Linked DNA regions of Arabidopsis thaliana. The protein of the gene in region 1 interacts with the protein of each later gene in a pairwise test. Each region holds a gene or a part of one and is shown in the gene's direction. Other genes may lie near its edges. The genes, in order: GATA14, AT1G47655 and WHY3.

The links.
Region 2: the proteins of GATA14 (region 1) and AT1G47655 interact in a two-hybrid assay, tested with the Arabidopsis thaliana proteins (one large-scale study listed by BioGRID).
Region 3: the proteins of GATA14 (region 1) and WHY3 interact in a two-hybrid assay, tested with the Arabidopsis thaliana proteins (one large-scale study listed by BioGRID).

Annotation. Positions count from the first base shown.
Region 1 is NC_003074.8:16,535,580-16,538,888, forward strand, and holds GATA14 (GATA transcription factor 14), read left to right. Parts: upstream 1-1,958; coding exon 1,959-2,114; intron 2,115-2,194; coding exon 2,195-2,653; 3' UTR 2,654-2,726; downstream 2,727-3,309. UniProt on the Arabidopsis thaliana protein: Transcriptional activator that specifically binds 5'-GATA-3' or 5'-GAT-3' motifs within gene promoters. May be involved in the regulation of some light-responsive genes.
Region 2 is NC_003070.9:17,523,374-17,526,889, forward strand, and holds AT1G47655 (Dof-type zinc finger DNA-binding family protein), read left to right. Parts: upstream 1-1,968; 5' UTR 1,969-2,063; coding exon 2,064-2,693; 3' UTR 2,694-2,935; downstream 2,936-3,516. UniProt on the Arabidopsis thaliana protein: Transcription factor that binds specifically to a 5'-AA[AG]G-3' consensus core sequence.
Region 3 is NC_003071.7:767,780-771,875, forward strand, and holds WHY3 (ssDNA-binding transcriptional regulator), read left to right. Parts: upstream 1-1,554; 5' UTR 1,555-1,609; coding exon 1,610-1,841; intron 1,842-1,938; coding exon 1,939-2,039; intron 2,040-2,125; coding exon 2,126-2,218; intron 2,219-2,596; coding exon 2,597-2,691; intron 2,692-2,779; coding exon 2,780-2,856; intron 2,857-2,935; coding exon 2,936-3,024; intron 3,025-3,094; coding exon 3,095-3,214; 3' UTR 3,215-3,456; downstream 3,457-4,096. Other genes in the region: AT2G02750 (Pentatricopeptide repeat (PPR) superfamily protein), read right to left, coding at 3,862-4,096. UniProt on the Arabidopsis thaliana protein: Single-stranded DNA-binding protein that functions in both chloroplasts and nucleus. In chloroplasts, maintains plastid genome stability by preventing break-induced and short homology-dependent illegitimate recombinations.

The DNA of each region.
Region 1 (3,309 bases):
GAAATGTCTATGAAGACCAAGTGTCGTTAGCTAAATTGGTAAAAACCCTGGGCGAAACTTAGAGGTCGCTGGTTCGAGTGACGCTTGGGACAAAATTAATATTACATGTCGTGGTTTCGGGCCTAGGAGGATTACGGGTTTCGGCCCAAAACCTCTTAGTATTCGAAAAAGAAAAAAAAATTGTCTATGAAATGACTTTGAGTTTTGCCCCTAAGAGACACTATAATGCGGATCCAATGGGCGGGACTAACAATGTATTGGTCCTTTCGAGCGGTCGATAAATTTTAACGTCTTGATCATAGAGTAATTTTGGTGAGACTTGTCTACATGTTGCTTCTAGATTGGAAAGAGGAAAATCACTCACATAATTACGATGAAATAGATTAGATATTCGTTTTCAGAAGTTTACTTTGTTTTAGTGCAAAGAGAAAGTAAATGTTAGCACAGTGATCTTTCTTCCACTACAAAAAGTTGGAATCCAATTGATTCATTAATAATTAACCCTTGAAGGAATAAATTATAAAGTATAACAAATTAATAACAGATTCCTGGCTTTTGGTTAGTATCAATGGGTGGCAACTTACATTAATTTATATTAGTAGGACAGTAAATAATCCGACCATGCTGTAAACATTTCACCATTTGTCATCATTTCAGGGTTCTATTTAACTTTGTGAATAACAAAGTGGATTCAATTTATATGGTAGAATGAATCATCAACTTCATAATCCTCTTGCCACTTCGGATAAAATTATATACAATACAAATAAAATACAAAATCATCTGAAATAGAAGCATTTAGATATACATTAAAACACTTTTCACCCTCTATTTCGTCAAGGATGACGTTTTACTGATTTTCTAAATACTTGACAGCGTTTCTAATTTGGTTACAAGAATTATTACTCTTTTTCTGTCAACAAATATAAAGCATATATACAAAAATTGAGAAAGATTTGTTGCCGAGAGGATAGTGAAGTACATCGTAAGTTAAAACAGAAAAAGAGGTTTCTATGGATTAATCAAGATTCAAGATTCAACAAATATGAACTTTCTAAGTTAGTTCACAAATTGCTGCAAAAAAATAAAAAAGTTAGTTCACAAATCAATTATGATAGATACCAAAGAGCTAAAGACATATGATGTTTTAGAGAGTTTTTTTTTTTTCATTAGATGGGATGTTTTACCGCCTTTTATGCAATGTTTATTATCTCTTTTAACGTAAAAAACAAATATAATCTCTTTCTTTGCATGTAAATTTCATTAAATAACAACACGATAATTCTGTTTATATTACATATACATTCGAATCAAATACTAAATTCTTATCTGTGAGAATAAAGAATCTATGTTTCCATATTATTCATTGTCCATTAATTTCGTTTTTTGCTTAGGATAGTATTAGTACAATAATTGTTCTGAATAATGTATATTTTTATTTTTAAAAAAGGATAATATAAAAATTAGATAGATTGTGTCAAATATTTTTTTATCCAAAATTCTTAGGATCGGACCTAACCGGATGAAATTTGATTAAATCAAAACACGAATAGAAGCCGAGCCAAATCAAACCATTCTCACACCCCAAACACCGTGAAGGCGTGAACCAACCTAAAGTTTGATTAACTCCGACCCAAATCCGAAAACACTCTGAGAGCAAGCCCTTCTAACCGTCTCTAGCTTCGCCCCTTTGTGTAACTCGGTTTAAATTCACCAAGCCGATCGTAAACAAACCTTGTTAACCGAAACCAATCATAGAAAGAGTATCTGAAATATGCCATGCATGCATATTAGTTTTATTACCTTTTTTATTTTATTATTTTGGTTAAAATCTTTCGACCGGAGAATTCTAAGGCAAAGAAACTATCCACTTCCCTTATAACTTTATTTAAATTCTATTTTTGAGGATATATATATGAGCTATATGCATATAAAGTCAACTTTTCTTTAAGAAAAGAATGTCGGGTCGTGAAGATGAAGAAGAAGATCTTGGAACTGCCATGCAGAAAATTCCCATCCCTGTCAACGTATTCGATAAAGAACCCATGGATTTGGATACGGTTTTCGGTTTTGCTGATGGAGTAAGAGAGATCATAGAAGATTCCAATTTACTAGTGAGTTTCCTTCAACTCTCCAAAACATGTTTTGGTTTTGAATAAAAATAAAACTCATCAATGTTCTTTTTACCATGTAGCTTGAGGAATCTCGAGAGTTTGATACAAACGATTCCAAACCGTCTCGAAACTTCTCAAATCTGCCAACCGCGACAAGAGGTCGTCTTCATGCACCAAAACGATCTGGAAACAAGCGAGGAAGACAAAAAAGACTGTCTTTCAAGAGTCCATCAGATCTTTTTGATTCTAAATTTGGCATTACCGACAAGAGTTGTTCACATTGCGGGACGAGAAAGACTCCGCTATGGAGAGAAGGACCGAGAGGAGCGGGAACGCTATGTAACGCGTGCGGGATGCGATACAGGACAGGTCGGCTACTTCCCGAGTACCGCCCTGCTTCAAGTCCGGATTTCAAACCTAACGTTCACTCCAACTTTCATCGAAAGGTTATGGAAATCAGAAGGGAGAGGAAGTCATCTCCTCCGAATAGCTTCGGTTTCTCGGAGTCGTATCATTCAACTAGGAAATTAGGGTTTTGAACTACTTTGTTTTTCTTTTATAAGTGTATAGATAAAACATGATATTTTATGTAAATGAGTTTTTTTTTTTTTACCATCTAAATTTATTATATATTGCAAATTATGAGAACTGTTATATAAACGATTTTATCACGGACAATTCCTTTCGACTCTCATTAGATCCACGACAGACGACACCTCCTTCTCCTTTTTCTTCTCCATGCTCTTGATGAACACTTCAATATCTTTTCTGCGTAGAATCCTCGCGAATTGATATAATTGTACATCGTGTGAAATCTCCTTCACACTTGCCTCCATTAATTTATAGTTTTACTTTTAGATGAGTTTAAAGACAAAACACCAAATCATATAGTACAAGTTTGAACGATAATTATTTTACACTTTATAGCAATCGTCTTTTCATTATTGAATAGAATTTGATGCCTTGAATCTAGTTCTGTTCTTCAATCTTAAATTATGAATTCCTTTTTCTATTATTTCCTTTACAAATGTAAAAACCTACAATTTCAGCCACTACAATTCACATGATGAAACAATTTTAAGAAAAACAAGTAATCTTATAACTAAAGAAAACAAGTACATATGAAGAAACAATTTCAATTTCAATTTCAATTTCAATCTTATAATTCTTTTAAACAAACTAAAAAGGATAAAAA
Region 2 (3,516 bases), on another chromosome or scaffold:
ATGTGTTATATCAATAATATCACAAAAATTCCTATTCCCACCACATTTGCTGAGGCACAGGACACCAAAGAATGATGTGAGGCTGTTGATGCAGAGATTGGTGCTATGGAAACTACACACACTTGGGAGATTACTACTTTACCTGCAGGGAAGAAGGCAGTAGGGTGTAAATGGGTATTCAGTTTGAAGTTTTTGGCAGATGGCAGTCTTGAGCGGTATAAGGCTAGATTGGTTGCTAAGGGTTACACTCAGAAAGAAGGTCTAGACTATACAGATACTTTCTCTCCAGTGGCAAAGATGACTACAATCAAGTTGTTATTGAAGATTTCTGCCTCTAAGAAATGGTTCTTAAAACAGCTTGATGTGTCTAATGCTTTCTTGAATGGTGAGTTAGAGGAAGAGATTTACATGAAGTTACCTGAAGGTTATGCGGCAAGGAAAGGTATCACTCTACCTCCTAATTCAGTCTGTCGATTGAAGAGATCCATTTATGGTTTGAAACAGGCCTCTCGTCAGTGGTTTAAGAAGTTTTCTGCTTCATTACTTGATTTGGGTTTTAAGAAGACACATGGTGATCATACTTTGTTTATTAAAGAGTATGATGGAGAATTTGTGATTGTTTTGGTTTATGTTGATGATATTGCTATTGCGAGTACAAGTGAAGGTGCTGCAATACAATTGACTCAGGATTTACAACAGCGATTCAAGTTAAGAGATCTTGGGGATTTGAAATATTTTTTGGGTCTTGAGATTGCTAGAACTGAAGCTGGTATTTCTATCTGCCAGAGAAAGTATGCTCTTGAGTTATTAGCATCTACTGGTATGGTTAACTGTAAACCTGTTTCAGTTCCCATGATCCCGAATGTGAAGATGATGAAGACTGATGGTGATTTGTTGGATGATAGAGAACAATACCGTCGTATTGTAGGAAAGCTGATGTATTTGACAATTACTAGACTTGACATCACCTTTGCAGTTAACAAGTTATGTCAGTTTTCCTCTGCTCCTAGGACGTCTCATCTTCAAGCTGCTTATCGAGTTTTACAATATATCAAAGGCAGTGTTGGCCAAGGTCTGTTCTATTCTGCATCTGCAGATCTTACTCTTAAAGGTTTTGCAGATTCAGATTGGGCTTCCTGTCCAGATAGTAGGAGATCAACAACTGGATTCAGCATGTTTGTGGGTGATTCATTGATATCTTGGCGTTCCAAGAAACAGCATGTGGTTTCCAGATCTTCTGCAGAGGCTGAGTACCGTGCCTTAGCACTGGTTACGTGTGAACTGGTATGGCTTCACACTTTGCTCATGTCTTTAAAAGCTAGCTACTTGGTTCCTGTGTTATATTCTGATAGCACAACTGCTATTTACATCGCCACAAATCCTGTGTTCCATGAAAGAACGAAGCATATAGAGCTAGATTGTCACACGGTTAGGGAGAAACTAGACAATGGCGAGCTGAAGTTGCTTCATGTGCGAACTGAAGACCAAGTAGCGGACATTCTTACTAATCCGTTATTTCCCCATCAATTCGAACACCTTAAATCCAAGATGAGCATTCTTAATATCTTTTCATGCACATCTTGAGGGGGCATATCAGATATGTATATTGGTTTAGTTGGTATTAGTTGGTTTAGTAGAACCATTGTATAGTGTAAAGTATATAAGACATTTGTACAGAATCATTTTACAATTAATGAGAAAAGGCTTCATAATATCTTCAACAAACTTTTCTCTCATCTCTATTCCGCTAATAATTCATTTTAACGAAGTAAATACTATTTTTAAATCCACTCTCATATTTTAACCATTTTTTAGTTAAATTTAATATAGAAGAAATTATTTTTAAAAAAAACTAAATATGAATTAAATTATTTTTAGAAGGGGAAAATAAATTAAATTCATATGTATCAATTAATAAATAAAAGGCAACTGAAAAAAACGTCTAAAAGCCTCTATATAAAAACCACATCACCACTCTCACAACATCCCCTTCTCTTTCGCTTTCTCTCTTCTCTCTTCTCTCCATTAACTTCTCTCTCGTTTTCTCATACTCTCAACTTAATATGCCGTCGGAACCAAACCAAACCCGACCCACCAGAGTTCAGCCCTCAACGGCGGCTTACCCACCGCCAAATCTGGCTGAGCCTCTTCCTTGTCCTCGCTGCAACTCCACCACCACCAAGTTCTGTTACTACAACAACTATAACCTCGCTCAGCCTCGCTACTACTGCAAATCTTGCCGCCGTTACTGGACTCAAGGTGGTACACTCCGTGACGTCCCCGTCGGTGGTGGAACTCGTCGAAGCTCCTCAAAACGTCACCGTTCTTTCTCCACCACTGCCACCTCCTCTTCCTCCTCTTCTTCCGTCATCACCACCACGACACAAGAACCAGCCACGACTGAAGCGAGTCAAACTAAGGTTACTAATTTAATTTCAGGTCATGGAAGCTTTGCTTCTCTGTTAGGTTTAGGAAGTGGAAATGGTGGGTTGGATTACGGGTTTGGGTACGGGTACGGGCTTGAGGAGATGAGTATTGGGTATCTTGGAGATTCTTCCGTAGGAGAGATTCCGGTGGTTGATGGTTGTGGTGGTGACACGTGGCAGATTGGGGAGATTGAAGGTAAAAGTGGAGGAGACAGTTTGATATGGCCTGGTCTTGAGATCTCAATGCAAACCAACGATGTTAAGTGAAAATGAAACCGTTTCTGATTTCTTGCCTTTGTCTTCTTTTGTTGGTGTCTTTTTGGAAATTTCTGTTTGTTTTCTTTTTTTTCCTAGAAAGAAGAGCAAAAGAAACCAAATTGAAGCAAAAATGTTTTTATTTATTTTAGTTTTTGAGGTCCAACAATTCTGGTGTATAAATCCTCTGTTTATGTGACGAACATATTGGAATGGATTTACAAGTAAAAAGTAAAAACGTTTCTTTCTTTTTATTTTGGTTGGTTAATATTTTGAAAGGAATAGTCAAATGTAGAAAGATGAATTGAGCATAAAAGTCCAAAAAGGGAAAAAGTACATAAGTACTGTTGCAGAAGTGAGTAAGAGATGCTCTGTTGCTACATCTTTGAAATGAGGAAATTGCGTTGAACTTAATTTTGTTTGTATTATAGATAAACATCAACAACAACATTGTTCATTTGCAGTGTAGAAGATTTTGTATATCAAAGTCATGTGAGTCTAGTGTTTAGCATATGAGACAATTCATATGAATGCTAAGAACTAAAACCTTTCATTCGATCAATGGATTAGAAATTCTTAGGGTTAATGTAGATTATGGTGTACTTATCAGCTAGTGTTATTTTTTTGTAAAAATCTTTAGGTTTAATCCTTGTGTCAAACATCTCAGCTAGAGTGTACTTGGTTAAACGTTCAAATAAAATTTGAATGTAGGGAATATAGCTAATAGATATTGTTGTGTAGTCTCCTATTGTGGTCAAAGCAAGAAAAACGAATTGTGTTGAATATAATTAACGGTAACTACATCATGACTATATTGAGAATGATGCTCAAGTTT
Region 3 (4,096 bases), on another chromosome or scaffold:
TATAAGATACATTAAAATGTTGTTGATTTTTAACTTTTTAATGATTTTATCAGATTTTAGGTATAAACAAATGAATCATATTTACTATTTTAATTAGAATTTAGATGTTGATATAAGACTACACTAGATTTAGATTCAATTTGGTTGATTAGTTTTTCTTTCAAATATAGTAGTTGATTTGGTCACGATTAAATGAAATTATGGAGTTGTTCAAAAAAAAAATATGCAGAATAATTTTCATTTGTTGATGCATATCATCGTAGATTATATAAATACATCTATTGTTTGAATGTTTAATTGATAGATCAAATAGTGAAATATGTATAGAAAATGATTACAAAGCAATAACATTATAGCCAAAAGCAATAAATTTATATGCTACTCGATGACATGTTAGAGAGAAGAGGCAAATTAATGACACTTCGACTCTTGAAGAACGAATTATTCAGTAATTATCTGTTGTTTACAGAAGTTTTTTTCACGTCGAATACATTTTTTTGGAAGTTACAGTTTTATAAAAGAACTTTAATCTTAGAGAGACTTTGTTTTTGTTTTTAAAAAAAATACATAATTAAGATTTTAATATAGTTTCTGAATGTTATCTAATACTTTAACGACACAAGAAATTTGTTAAGTCATACATTTGTATATAATCAGATTTAACTATTTTCGAGATTAGCAAACTTTTGACTTAGATGTTGAAAAACAACAATCCATCCATTAGAGTATCTCACGAAACTGAATAGTTATCGTGTAAGCCTAAATCTAGTTAGAGGATGTAAAATTGTTACTTTTTCTGCAGTTGAGGTACAAAAGTTCAATCAGTTTAGTTTTGATGTGTCTGTAGATTTCAATATACACTTTTTTTTTAATTCTTTTTAATTTCAGATCCTTGGGAATGAGTCATCTATAACGGTTTAATTGCATGGTTCCCCTCATTAAAATTGCTTGGGAGAGGACTTACTTGCTGAGTGGATGCATCAAACTCTAACGTCAATAGTTTTTTTTTTTTTTTTTTCGCAAACACCATTTTAAGTCAATAGTTGTAACTAAATACAACAAATACATTTTTGTTGAATTAGATTATATGTTTTGCAAGATTTTTTGAAACTCTGGAGTAGCTAAAAAAAAAATAGTATGCAATATATTTTTTTCTATTGATGCGTATCATCGTACATTATATATTTATATATTGTTTGATTGTTTAATTGATTTATCAAATAGTGAAAATATGTACAGAAAATGACTTAAAACATTATAAGTTAGAATCAAGAGCAATAAACTCATATGCTACTGGATAATATGTTCAAGAGAAGAGACAAATTAATGATGCACAAACTCTTGAATATGAAATTACTAACGTCGATTCTTTTCTCGTTAATGTTTATTTTCATGTTTCGAAAATGTTTATTTTCATCTCTTGTTAATGTCTTGCAAAAGTTGGAGGGCTTTCTTATAAACGTTGGTTATATTGGGGCACATTTGTAAGATGTTAAATATGATTGGGTAAAAAACGAATTAACAGAAAGTATTCTCTCCTAAACCCTTTTCGTCATCGTAATCCCGCGGTGAAGAAGACGAAGAAGCATTGAGAGTGAAAAGAAAAACAATGTCGCAGCTGTTATCTTCTCCTCCAATGGCGGTTTTCTCCAAAACCTTCATAAACCATAAGTTTTCAGATGCTCGTTTTCTCTCTTCTCACTCAATTCTCACCTCCGGTGGATTCGCCGGAAAAATTATTCCTTTAAAACCGACGGCGAGGTTGAAATTAACGGTGAAGTCTCGACAAAGTGATTACTTTGAGAAACAGAGGTTTGGTGACTCGTCTTCTTCGCAAAACGGTAGGGTTTTCACTCATTGTTTGAGCTTTGAAAAATGGGAAGCTTTGAAATTCAGAAAGTTTGAAATTTTGTTTGTTTGTTTGTTTTGGTTTTATAGCTGAAGTATCTTCTCCTAGATTTTACGTGGGTCATTCGATTTACAAAGGGAAAGCTGCTCTTACGATAGAACCACGAGCACCAGAGTTTGTGGCTTTGGAAGTATGTGTCTTTGTCGAAGATCAAAAACTCTATTGTATTGTTTGTTTGATCTTAGATTGATCTCCATTCTTCATGTTCTGATCCAGTCTGGTGCGTTCAAGCTGACAAAGGAAGGTTTTTTGTTGCTCCAATTTGCTCCTGCAGCTGGTGTTCGTCAATATGATTGGAGTAGGAAGCAGGTTTGGTTTTTATCTTTCACTTACTACTTCATAGATTGTGATAGAAGAATTCATGACTTGATCTGGTGAAAGCAGCAGCCTTTTGACTTTCTATAGTGTTTGTGGTTAGTTAGATATGTTTGATTTGAAATGTTGCAGGTCTACTTTTTATCATGAACTTGGTATTTATAGATTGTGATGATGAAAATCAATTGGTTTGGTGAAAGATATTATGATTGTGGTAAGATTATGTTTTGATGTAGAAAAGATGTAGGTTTGGATCTTTAACTTGGTAGTATATGGATTGTGATAATGATCATGATTTGCTTTGGTGAAAGAAACAGTCTTTTGCTTAATATTGTGACTGGTTAAATCATTTTTTGATGTCGAATGATGCAGGTCTTCTCGTTGTCGGTTACAGAAATCGGTAATCTAGTTAGCCTTGGGCCGAGGGAATCATGTGAATTCTTCCATGATCCATTCAAGGGAAAAGGGTATGATTTAGGATTTTATTTCATTACACAGATAGTGTTGTTCTCTGTAGTTCTGATTCGTAATCAATGTGGTGTTGGTGTTGAGTAGTAGTGATGAAGGTAAAGTGAGGAAAGTGTTGAAAGTTGAGCCGCTCCCAGATGGTTCTGGCCGCTTCTTTAACCTGAGTAAGCAAAAGCTTTATTCCTCTCTTCTTCTTTATTTTCGTCTAGCTCTTCTGATTTCAACTGTTGATTTTTCATGAAGGTGTTCAAAACAAGCTCTTGAATGTAGATGAGAGTGTATACATACCAATCACTAAAGCAGAGTTTGCTGTTCTTATCTCTGCTTTCAACGTAAGTTCTCTCTCACACACTCTTTGTGAGAAGCTTTCCCCGTTGTTCTAACTGTATACTTGAATTGCAGTTCGTCTTGCCGCACCTTATAGGCTGGAGTGCATTTGCTAACTCCATCAAACCAGAAGACTCTAACCGCCTTAACAATGCTTCGCCTAAGTATGGAGGAGACTACGAATGGAGTAGATGATGGAGATTAGAGGCAATCTTGCAAACTCGGTTTTTCGGTCCATACCATCTTTTTGTTGTTGCAAATCAATGAGTCACCAAGAGCTGTTCGAGATAGAGAACGGAAAGAAAAGCAGCAGCAGAGACTGAAGTAGTTTAGACCAAATGGAATGTGTTGTTGTGTAGGAAATAACTTATATTTTGTGTTAGACAATCTGTATTCATTCAAAAGCAATCAATTACAATTTTGCTAATACAAGAATCAGATACTCATCCTCTTGTCTAGTGTTTACATATAATATTTGATCACAAAGGATCTAATACTCTGATCTCTTTAGGGAGCATAGACATGCTCTCGATTCAGAGGTCATAAACCAGCTCATCCAATACAGGATTGGATTCACGGTATAGAAGAAACTAAGGGACCTAAACAAACAAAGATAAAGAGATCATCGTGCGGATTATCGCATTCAGACATTAAACCGAGTGTAATACCCCGCACACTGAGCCGTTTACCTTTGTTAGTTTAGGTCCTTCAGTGTCTTCCACACTGTGGATGTAAACCTAAATTGGTGAATCACCTGCTTTACGAGACCCGAGTCAAGAGCAAGTCAATACTCCCCCAAAGAGATCCCTGCCTTTGCTCATATTCGACCAGTCGGCATATACTTAACCAGACAAACTAAGACCTGGAAGTTTCACCAGTTGCTTCTGATCTATTACCTGCCTGATACTTTCCACATCTTCCCATCTTTCTAATGCAGCATATATACTGGACAAGATCACAAATGGAGCTGGATTCTCTGGCTCTAACTCTGCTAGCTTCATTGCCGCTTCCTCTCCAAGAACTGGATCTAGGTGTTGCCTACATGAACCGAGCAAGGAAGAGTAAACCGAAGACGAT